3 linked regions of the Saccharomyces cerevisiae S288C genome follow. Changing the gene in region 1 together with any one later gene gives a genetic interaction. Each region holds a gene or a part of one and is shown in the gene's direction. Other genes may lie near its edges. The genes, in order: YAT1, YNR061C and SUC2.

The links.
Region 2: mutations in YAT1 (region 1) and YNR061C together harm fitness more than expected from each alone (negative genetic interaction), as found in Saccharomyces cerevisiae (one large-scale study listed by BioGRID).
Region 3: mutations in YAT1 (region 1) and SUC2 together harm fitness more than expected from each alone (negative genetic interaction), as found in Saccharomyces cerevisiae (one large-scale study listed by BioGRID).

What each region holds. Positions count from the first base shown.
Region 1 is NC_001133.9:188,114-191,872, forward strand, and holds the start of YAT1 (carnitine O-acetyltransferase YAT1), read left to right. Parts: upstream 1-2,079; coding exon 2,080-3,759. Other genes in the region: DUP240 family protein MST28, read left to right, coding at 1-698. UniProt on the Saccharomyces cerevisiae protein: Involved in the transfer of acetyl-CoA into mitochondria. May also be involved in the metabolism of acetate and of ethanol.
Region 2 is NC_001146.8:742,250-745,568, reverse strand, and holds YNR061C (uncharacterized protein), read left to right. Parts: upstream 1-2,028; coding exon 2,029-2,688; downstream 2,689-3,319. Other genes in the region: PUL3 (Pul3p), read left to right, coding at 226-1,209.
Region 3 is NC_001141.2:35,265-39,023, forward strand, and holds SUC2 (beta-fructofuranosidase SUC2), read left to right. Parts: upstream 1-2,120; coding exon 2,121-3,719; downstream 3,720-3,759. Other genes in the region: YIL163C (uncharacterized protein), read right to left, coding at 1,635-1,988.

The sequences.
Region 1 (3,759 bases):
CCCCTCCAGAAAGTACCGACGTCAAGTTAGATACACTTAACGAACCTAGTGCACATTTAATTGAGAAAAATGTGGCTCTTCCTAAGGACATATTCCGTTCGTACTTGAGTTATTGGATCTATGAAATCGCTCGCTATACACCAGTCATGATTTTGTCCCTGGTAATAGGGGTTTTGGTTTTATTAATTATATTTTTTAATGACAACGAAGCTTGTGTTTTCAATTCTGCAATATTTGCTTTTACTTCTCTTGTAGGTTTGTTAATAATATTAAGTGATGGTAATCCAAAGCTAGTCAGTCGTCGAAATTTTAGGACCGAGCTTTTAGTGGATGTCATCACACGTAAACCGGCGGTAGAAGGGAAAGAATGGAGGATCATCACATACAACATGAACCAATATTTGTTTAATCATGGGCAATGGCATACTCCGTATTACTTTTACAGCGATGAGGATTGCTACCGTTATTTTCTACGCCTTGTTGAGGGAGTAACCCCCAAGAAGCAAACAGCCACGTCAATTGGCAATTCTCCGGTCACCGCTAAGCCTGAAGATGCCATCGAGTCAGCTTCTCCTAGTTCCAGACTGAATTATCAAAACTTTTTGCTCAAGGCAGCGGAGATCGAACGACAAGCTCAGGAAAATTACTGGCGAAGGCGGCATCCCAATATCGATGCGCTTCTTAAAAAGACGGAATAGCTTAGAGACACTACCATACGTAAAGCGAACATAAACTAGAGTATGATATATAATCAGCACTAACTGGCCGGAAAACGGCCGAAGGAAGCCTCGAAAAGTCGATTCGTGTTGGACCCATTTGCTGAACAAAGTGGTTCATTGCCTACCTATTATGGTAGTAGTCGTGATAATCGTGTGGTTGGTTTTGTCAACGGTGCATTTGCATTTTCATGACAATAAACCTTGCGTTTTCGTTCTCGGGATATTACTTTCCCTCCACTTCTTTCGCCTCAATAGCTCCTATAAGCATTCTCAGGGCGTATGTCGGTGATCGAGATTTCCAAGCAAGCTTTTAGTGGAAATCATCGCGCGCAAGCCAGCGGTAAAGGGAAAAGAACGGAGGACGATTACATACAAGATGAACGAATAAATAAATTAATAATAAATAATAATAAAAAGTACAGTAGCATTAAATATTATTAAGTTTAATGATTAAAAATTGGTTAATTGTCAAGAAAATCTAAGGTATTAATAAATAAATAATACTATGACAACTTGCAGCGAAAGCATCAGCCCCAATGAAAATTAATCAGAATTGAATCTGAGCGTATTTATTTGATAACGGTTTACGTAACTGTTGGAATAAAAATCAACTATCATCTACTAACTAGTGTTTACGTTACTAGTATATTATCATATACGGTGTTAGAAGATGACGCAAATGATGAGAAATAGTCATCGTTTTCAACGGAAGCTGAAATACAAGGATTGATAATGTAATAGGATCAATGAATATCAACATATAAAACGATGATAATAATATTTATAGAATTGTGTAGAATTGCAGATTCCCTTTTATGGATTCCTAAATCCTCGAGAAGAACTTCTAGTATATCTACGTACCTAATATTATTGCCTTATTAAAAATGGAATCCCAACAATTATCTCAAAATTCCCCCAATTCTCATCAGTAACACCCCACCCCGTATTACTTTTACCGTGATGAAGATTGGCATCGTTACTTTCTAAACGTAGGACGTGCGGAATGACAAAACCATCAGCAGTGTCACGATCTCTCCAGTCACAATGGCAATCATGAGTGCATAGTCCAAAGTAAAGGGGCAAGGAAAAGCATGATTGAAAGGACTCCCCATCTGGACTCTATATGTCATCAGCGGCTAAAAAAAAGCATATAGCACAACATCAGCATCAGCATCAGCACTAGAGTCATCGGCCCGGCGGTCCGCGGTCATCCCCGCGGACTTTCCGTCCGCCCGGCGGGCTGTATCAGCGTCAACTGGAACGCGCATATATATACAAGACACACATAACATAGAAGCACACCCACGACAATAACCACACGACAATAACCACACCCGCCCACCCCTCCTTTCCGTATACAATGCCAAACTTAAAGAGACTACCCATCCCGCCACTGCAGGACACGCTCAACCGCTACCTGGCACGCGTGGAACCCCTGCAGGACGAGCGCCAAAACCGCCGTACGCGCCGCACTGTGCTCTCCGCAGAAAACCTGGACGCATTGAACACGCTGCACGAGCGGCTGCTAGAATACGACGCACGGCTCGCGGAAAGCAACCCAGAGTCCTCATACATCGAGCAGTTCTGGTATGACGCGTACTTGCTATATGATGCAACTGTCGTTCTCAACGTCAACCCGTACTTCCAACTGCAGGACGACCCAACCATCAAAGACACACCAGAGACGGCGGCACAGGGCCCCTATGGCGCACACACGGTGCAGGTTCGTCGTGCCGCACGACTCACCACCTCTATTCTCAAGTTCATCCGCCAGATTCGCCACGGCACACTCCGCACAGACACTGTGCGCGGCAAAACGCCGCTGTCGATGGACCAGTATGAGCGGCTATTCGGCTCCAGTAGAATCCCTCCGGGTCCCGGCGAGCCCTCTTGCCACTTGCAAACAGACGCCACGTCGCATCACGTGGTGGCGATGTATCGTGGCCAGTTCTACTGGTTCGACGTGCTGGACACACGCAACGAGCCCATCTTCGCCACCCCAGAACAACTGGAGTGGAACCTCTACTCGATCATCATGGACGCGGAATCCGCCGGAAGCGGATCCGCGCCCTTTGGCGTGTTCACCACAGAGTCGCGCCGGGTGTGGTCCAACATCAGGGACTATCTGTTCCATGCGGACGACTGCACCAACTGGCGCAATCTCAAGCTGATCGACTCCGCGCTGTTCGTGGTCTGTCTCGACGACGTGGCGTTTGCCGCCGATCAGCAGGACGAGCTCACGCGTTCGATGCTGTGCGGGACTTCTACCATCAATCTCGACCCGCACCAACACCAGCCGCCATTGAACGTGCAGACAGGCACCTGTCTCAACCGCTGGTACGACAAGTTACAACTGATCGTGACCAAGAACGGTAAGGCGGGCATCAACTTCGAACACACCGGTGTGGACGGCCACACTGTGCTGCGGCTCGCCACAGACATCTACACAGACTCGATCCTGAGCTTCGCACGCGGTGTCACCAAGAACGTCGTCGACATCTTTAGCGACGACGATGGAAAACCATCGTCGTCGTCGTTGGCCTCGGCGGCTCACTCCGCCAACTTGATCACCATCCCTCGTAAACTGGAATGGCGCACTGACAATTTCCTGCAATCGTCGCTGCACTTTGCCGAGACGCGCATCTCGGACTTGATCTCGCAATACGAGTTTGTTAATCTTGACTTCTCCAACTACGGCGCGTCCCATATCAAGACAGTGTTCAAGTGCTCGCCAGACGCCTTCGTGCAGCAGGTGTTCCAGGTCGCATACTTCGCGTTGTACGGTCGCTTCGAGACCGTGTACGAGCCTGCCATGACCAAGGCGTTCCAAAACGGCCGCACAGAGGCCATCCGCTCCGTCACGGGCCAATCGAAGCTCTTTGTCAAGTCACTACTGGACCAGGATGCCTCGGACGCCACCAAAATTCAGCTCTTGCACGACGCCTGTACGGCGCACTCGCAAATCACAAGGGAATGCTCCCAGGGGCTCGGCCAGGACCGTCACTTGTATGCGCTCTACTGCCTCTGGAACCAATGGTAC
Region 2 (3,319 bases), on another chromosome or scaffold:
CAAGCCATTTCTGCAGCAGTTCAAGTTTTTGTTTCATTCATTATTGGGGATATTGCTGCTTTTCTTGGGTCCATTAAATGGGTAATAGTGGGGCTTTACTTTTTATCCTTTGTGGGTAATTTTTTGTATTCATGCGGCGGTGCAGTGTCGCTAAACACCCTTCTCGGTGGGCGTATTATATGTGGTGCAGCATCTGCTTCTGGTGCTATAGTGTTCAGTTACATCATGTCAATTGCACAAGATAGGGGTATCGTTTTCAAGCTTCTATCAATTTATCGAGCAGCGGCTGGTATCTTCATGGCGTTGGCACAATTAATTGTCATATTTTTTGGATATTGCGATTTTAAAATTAAAGGGTATCGCATTGCCTCTTACAATGCACCGACATTTGCCTCCAGTTTCATAATTCTTGCAGTATGCCTTTTATTAGTTGTCGTTCTGGAAAATCCTGAGGTTAAAGTTACAAATTCGGAAAATAGCCTTTTCAGTGCTCTGAAACAATTTTTTAGAGTCGAAAGAAAAAAACTCATCTCCTGCTTGATTTTACTATGGAGCATGTTCCTATCGTCATTTATTATGAGCGAAGTAGTTTATTTTATGCCACTATTCCTGACGCTCCACGTTAACTGGGACACCAAGTTTCAAGGCATAGCGTTTATGGTCGCATCTATACTTGGTGTGACTGGAAGCTATTTCGCTCCAAAGTTAATAAACGTCGGGTGCTCCTGCGGCAGAGCCAAAGATGGCGGATTAGAAGAGTCAGATACAACTGGAAGTGAGACCGTTGAGGTAAAGAAAAAAGATTCGCTGTACAGCGGTCAAGTTTTTCTGTCCATCTTTGCATTGTTTGTTTCATTGCTGGGACAAGCTTTTATGATTGGAGCATCCGAAGCCTTGAAGCATAAATCAATGCCACCCACAAATTCTGGTATATTTTTTTCAGCTGGGATGTCGATTACATTGTTAGGGTACAACTTTTTGGCTTCGAGCATTCCAGCCCTTTTTTCCATGTACATCGACCCCAAACTCAAGGTCCAGTTGATGCCTTCAATTGGAGCAATCTCTGGGATTGGTAAACTGGTGGCACCGATTGTATTAGCAGCTCTTTATGGCACAAGATTGGGGCTTTCAATTGCGGTTGGATTTGGTATGATTTTGGTAGCTGTTTCAATTCCACCGCTTATTTGGCTCAGGAAAAAAAGGTGTTAGATTTCCTTAGACATATACTGGTCCAAATCCAGCTATATATCGGGTGCCATTGACGTATATTTTTTCGAAGAACTTGGACGACAAAAAGTCAGCCTCTTTTTTATGGCGTTCTATCAACAAATTTTACATTTGGAAATGATAGTGTATTATCTTTACCATTTCTATAGTGATATATCCGGACTAATCTTTTAGCGGCCATAAATAAATATTACTAATATTTAAAGTTTCCTTCTGATTTATTCTTCTATTATATTCAAACCAGTTGTGGAAAAGTGTGTGCCTCTTTTATATGGCACTTTATACTGAATGATGTAATCAGTTTGCATGGACGCCAAAGCTTGTATTTTAACCAAGGTTTTTTAGAGTTTGGCCGCTTCAAAGTTAAAGACGTTAGGCAATTCGCATAACCTTTTCTTTAATCTCAATATATTATTCTAATCTTATTCTGCAAATTGTCATTGGAATTCGCTTCCGATTTGCTGTACTGCTTGCTGAATAATATCTGCTCTTGCATTGGCAGGTGAGAAATGAATACTATCTTTTAAGGATGTTGGTTTATAATCTCTCGGAGACTAAAAACCAACTTCTCAAAATGATTTATGTATTTGCCCAAAGTTAAAATTGCGTGTTTCCAATTACGTATGCGATATGTAAAAAAATTAAAAAAGTGAATGAATAAGCGACTTTTCGAGTTGCTATTTTTTTCTTGGTTCAACAGAAGTAAAATATAATCAACCATAAATAGGAGAATACAGGCGGTGCTTACAGCTTGATATTTTGTTACCAAGTCAAGATCTATAATAATAACTCAATACATATATGTTAAAGTTAACAACAACATCCGTTACTTTCCACGTACTAAGATATTTCCAACTTGGCTTATCTGTAACTAACTTGTTGTTAGCTAGTTTTGCCATAATCACAAACTATAAAGTGGATCGAATCCTTAGATTGAGCTTAGCTGTTTCAATCATATCTTCAGTTTATTTTGGGATTGTGAGATTTTTGCCTGTTCTGTTAATATTCGTGATGGAAATTGTTCAGACCGTCCTGTGGTTTACCGCTTTCGTAACTCTAGCTTCAAAATTTGGTTCTATGTCCTGCTCAAGTATGCCACGGGGTATAAACTTTGATTATTCAGGTTCTTGTAAGATTGCTAAAATAGATATTTTACCAGAAGCCGTTTTATTCATACTATTTCTCGCTACCACATATGCTTCTTATATCACAGTCCTATCTCAAGCTAAGGAAAATGGGTCAAGCACAAGATCTGTTTTGAAGGCTTGTGTGAAGGCATTACGTGATACCGTGGACCGCTTGGAGACCAGTCTGGAAGAGAGTGAGCCTCTTTTAGATCTTGAAGTTCAGGAAGATGCGAGGACTGAAACCGAAAGCATTGAGGATTCAACTGATAGTGAGGATAATGCTAACATCGAACAAGAGAAAGTGATTGATGGTTCAATTGAGCATTCTTCATGATGAACCAAATGTCTTGTAGTGCATGCTGTTTCTGACTTTGCTTAATGGATTTTTTTAGTTCGACGATGTTCCGTATATTTTAGAGGCACACACTTTCACTTTTCCTATGTTGAGTAATGAAGGCATTTGAAGTTACGGAACCTTATAGGTGTCAGCACGCTGTCATTCCAGATAATTTTGTGTCTCCCTTACCTCCACATATGAATTTGGAATACCAATAATTACCTCTTAAAAGGTTTCAGAAGACGTTTACTATTTAATTCTTAGCTACACATCATATAGTTATTAATTCAATATATTACTTTTGGTACTGCATTCTAAAACACTAAAGTATAACCTCCGAACATTATATAGGTGTTTATTGAGTTATTTTTTGAAGAAATAGTCCACTAGAAATTGCTTGGGATGCGGGATTCCTTTTTCTCTTGGTCCTTACATTATACACCAATTTTATCTTTATAAGAAAATACAGGTAGTTAAATTAAGTACATGAACGCTGAAGATCGATTGGTTCATATTCTATCGGCAATTGGTGTGTTATACAATTCAGAGTTACTAAATATGAAGCTTCTGTCATCTTACGTATGATTTTTCTGCTTTTTAATACGATTATTTTTCTGAAAAAGTGTTA
Region 3 (3,759 bases), on another chromosome or scaffold:
GCAGTGGTCGGCCATAGTTATCCATACAAAATTCCAATTTCTTACGCGCATAGCAGTCGATACATGCAAACATCTCGACTATTCTGGCGATAGCAGTACCAACAATCACCAGCACAAATTTTGTCACCTGTGCTTTGCTAGAGTTACTTCAGTACTAATTAGATTATAATATTTTGCAGCATTTATTGGTATAGAAAGAAAAGCTCGAGCACTACCAACTTTTATCTGATATACCGAAAAATGCATAAATATCTTCTCTAGTTTGTGCGTTTTCTTGTCGCCCTACCTCACAAAAGAGAAGTACTGATGGCTAATAATTGTTGGATCGATTCATTGTATCTCTTAAATGTCAACAGAGCATAAGTCAGACTCTTTGCCATTTTTAAAAAGCTGCGAAGGCGAACGTGACTACGGGGTGCGGGTTTTTGTATTGCTAATGTAGCATGACAGCTTATCCAATGTTTTGTTGTGTTCATTCAAACTATTTTGAGCCTCACTTCAATTTTGTTTGACTACTAACATGGCAGCATGCGTCGTTTCTAGGTGCTAGCCAGGCTGTGAGAACGTAAAATTAGCCTATGTTCAACATTCTCTGCTTTTCAATGTCACTGTTCATTTTGTTACTATGAAAGTAGTTCGTCGCAATTTGTACTTTTCTTCGAAAGTCTTCTTTTGCAGTAGATGAAGTGTGTTCTGAGAAATTGATGCTTTCAAATGGCCTTAAAAAATTTTTGTATCATAGCTAACAACATACTGTTGCGCCAGGGGAAGTGAAATCATGGTTGTATATTACAATAGCATTATGTGCATTTACCAAGTATGGAAAAGCGGAAAGTGTGAAAGAAGTTTATGAAAAAAGCGGAAAATAAAAAAAAAAAGTTTATTTTCCTGTGACTTCTGGGAAGCAGTTAGACCTCCTTCGCTGTATTCTTAGGTGCTATACCTCATTTCCACGATGGTAATAGACGATCAGTCTATTAATGCGCTAAAGAACGTAGAAAAGTTATTAACTGAAGAAGCTTTGCTAATGCCGTCGCACATTAAACGGCTAGACATTGCCTTGAATAGGAAGCCGAATAATCTACGAAATATCATGGAGCTTCAGGGCCTTGCATATACTATAGTAAAAAAAAAACTAAGTTTTCCCCTGTAGTAAACAGGGAGATACCGTACGGAGGTCTGAATTCCCTACAGAAGTAGCTGTAAAAATTCAGAATTCGCAACAACCTATAATTGAGTTAAGTGCCTTTCCAAGCTAAAAAGTTTGAGGTTATAGGGGCTTAGCATCCACACGTCACAATCTCGGGTATCGAGTATAGTATGTAGAATTACGGCAGGAGGTTTCCCAATGAACAAAGGACAGGGGCACGGTGAGCTGTCGAAGGTATCCATTTTATCATGTTTCGTTTGTACAAGCACGACATACTAAGACATTTACCGTATGGGAGTTGTTGTCCTAGCGTAGTTCTCGCTCCCCCAGCAAAGCTCAAAAAAGTACGTCATTTAGAATAGTTTGTGAGCAAATTACCAGTCGGTATGCTACGTTAGAAAGGCCCACAGTATTCTTCTACCAAAGGCGTGCCTTTGTTGAACTCGATCCATTATGAGGGCTTCCATTATTCCCCGCATTTTTATTACTCTGAACAGGAATAAAAAGAAAAAACCCAGTTTAGGAAATTATCCGGGGGCGAAGAAATACGCGTAGCGTTAATCGACCCCACGTCCAGGGTTTTTCCATGGAGGTTTCTGGAAAAACTGACGAGGAATGTGATTATAAATCCCTTTATGTGATGTCTAAGACTTTTAAGGTACGCCCGATGTTTGCCTATTACCATCATAGAGACGTTTCTTTTCGAGGAATGCTTAAACGACTTTGTTTGACAAAAATGTTGCCTAAGGGCTCTATAGTAAACCATTTGGAAGAAAGATTTGACGACTTTTTTTTTTTGGATTTCGATCCTATAATCCTTCCTCCTGAAAAGAAACATATAAATAGATATGTATTATTCTTCAAAACATTCTCTTGTTCTTGTGCTTTTTTTTTACCATATATCTTACTTTTTTTTTTCTCTCAGAGAAACAAGCAAAACAAAAAGCTTTTCTTTTCACTAACGTATATGATGCTTTTGCAAGCTTTCCTTTTCCTTTTGGCTGGTTTTGCAGCCAAAATATCTGCATCAATGACAAACGAAACTAGCGATAGACCTTTGGTCCACTTCACACCCAACAAGGGCTGGATGAATGACCCAAATGGGTTGTGGTACGATGAAAAAGATGCCAAATGGCATCTGTACTTTCAATACAACCCAAATGACACCGTATGGGGTACGCCATTGTTTTGGGGCCATGCTACTTCCGATGATTTGACTAATTGGGAAGATCAACCCATTGCTATCGCTCCCAAGCGTAACGATTCAGGTGCTTTCTCTGGCTCCATGGTGGTTGATTACAACAACACGAGTGGGTTTTTCAATGATACTATTGATCCAAGACAAAGATGCGTTGCGATTTGGACTTATAACACTCCTGAAAGTGAAGAGCAATACATTAGCTATTCTCTTGATGGTGGTTACACTTTTACTGAATACCAAAAGAACCCTGTTTTAGCTGCCAACTCCACTCAATTCAGAGATCCAAAGGTGTTCTGGTATGAACCTTCTCAAAAATGGATTATGACGGCTGCCAAATCACAAGACTACAAAATTGAAATTTACTCCTCTGATGACTTGAAGTCCTGGAAGCTAGAATCTGCATTTGCCAATGAAGGTTTCTTAGGCTACCAATACGAATGTCCAGGTTTGATTGAAGTCCCAACTGAGCAAGATCCTTCCAAATCTTATTGGGTCATGTTTATTTCTATCAACCCAGGTGCACCTGCTGGCGGTTCCTTCAACCAATATTTTGTTGGATCCTTCAATGGTACTCATTTTGAAGCGTTTGACAATCAATCTAGAGTGGTAGATTTTGGTAAGGACTACTATGCCTTGCAAACTTTCTTCAACACTGACCCAACCTACGGTTCAGCATTAGGTATTGCCTGGGCTTCAAACTGGGAGTACAGTGCCTTTGTCCCAACTAACCCATGGAGATCATCCATGTCTTTGGTCCGCAAGTTTTCTTTGAACACTGAATATCAAGCTAATCCAGAGACTGAATTGATCAATTTGAAAGCCGAACCAATATTGAACATTAGTAATGCTGGTCCCTGGTCTCGTTTTGCTACTAACACAACTCTAACTAAGGCCAATTCTTACAATGTCGATTTGAGCAACTCGACTGGTACCCTAGAGTTTGAGTTGGTTTACGCTGTTAACACCACACAAACCATATCCAAATCCGTCTTTGCCGACTTATCACTTTGGTTCAAGGGTTTAGAAGATCCTGAAGAATATTTGAGAATGGGTTTTGAAGTCAGTGCTTCTTCCTTCTTTTTGGACCGTGGTAACTCTAAGGTCAAGTTTGTCAAGGAGAACCCATATTTCACAAACAGAATGTCTGTCAACAACCAACCATTCAAGTCTGAGAACGACCTAAGTTACTATAAAGTGTACGGCCTACTGGATCAAAACATCTTGGAATTGTACTTCAACGATGGAGATGTGGTTTCTACAAATACCTACTTCATGACCACCGGTAACGCTCTAGGATCTGTGAACATGACCACTGGTGTCGATAATTTGTTCTACATTGACAAGTTCCAAGTAAGGGAAGTAAAATAGAGGTTATAAAACTTATTGTCTTTTTTATTTTTTTCAAAAG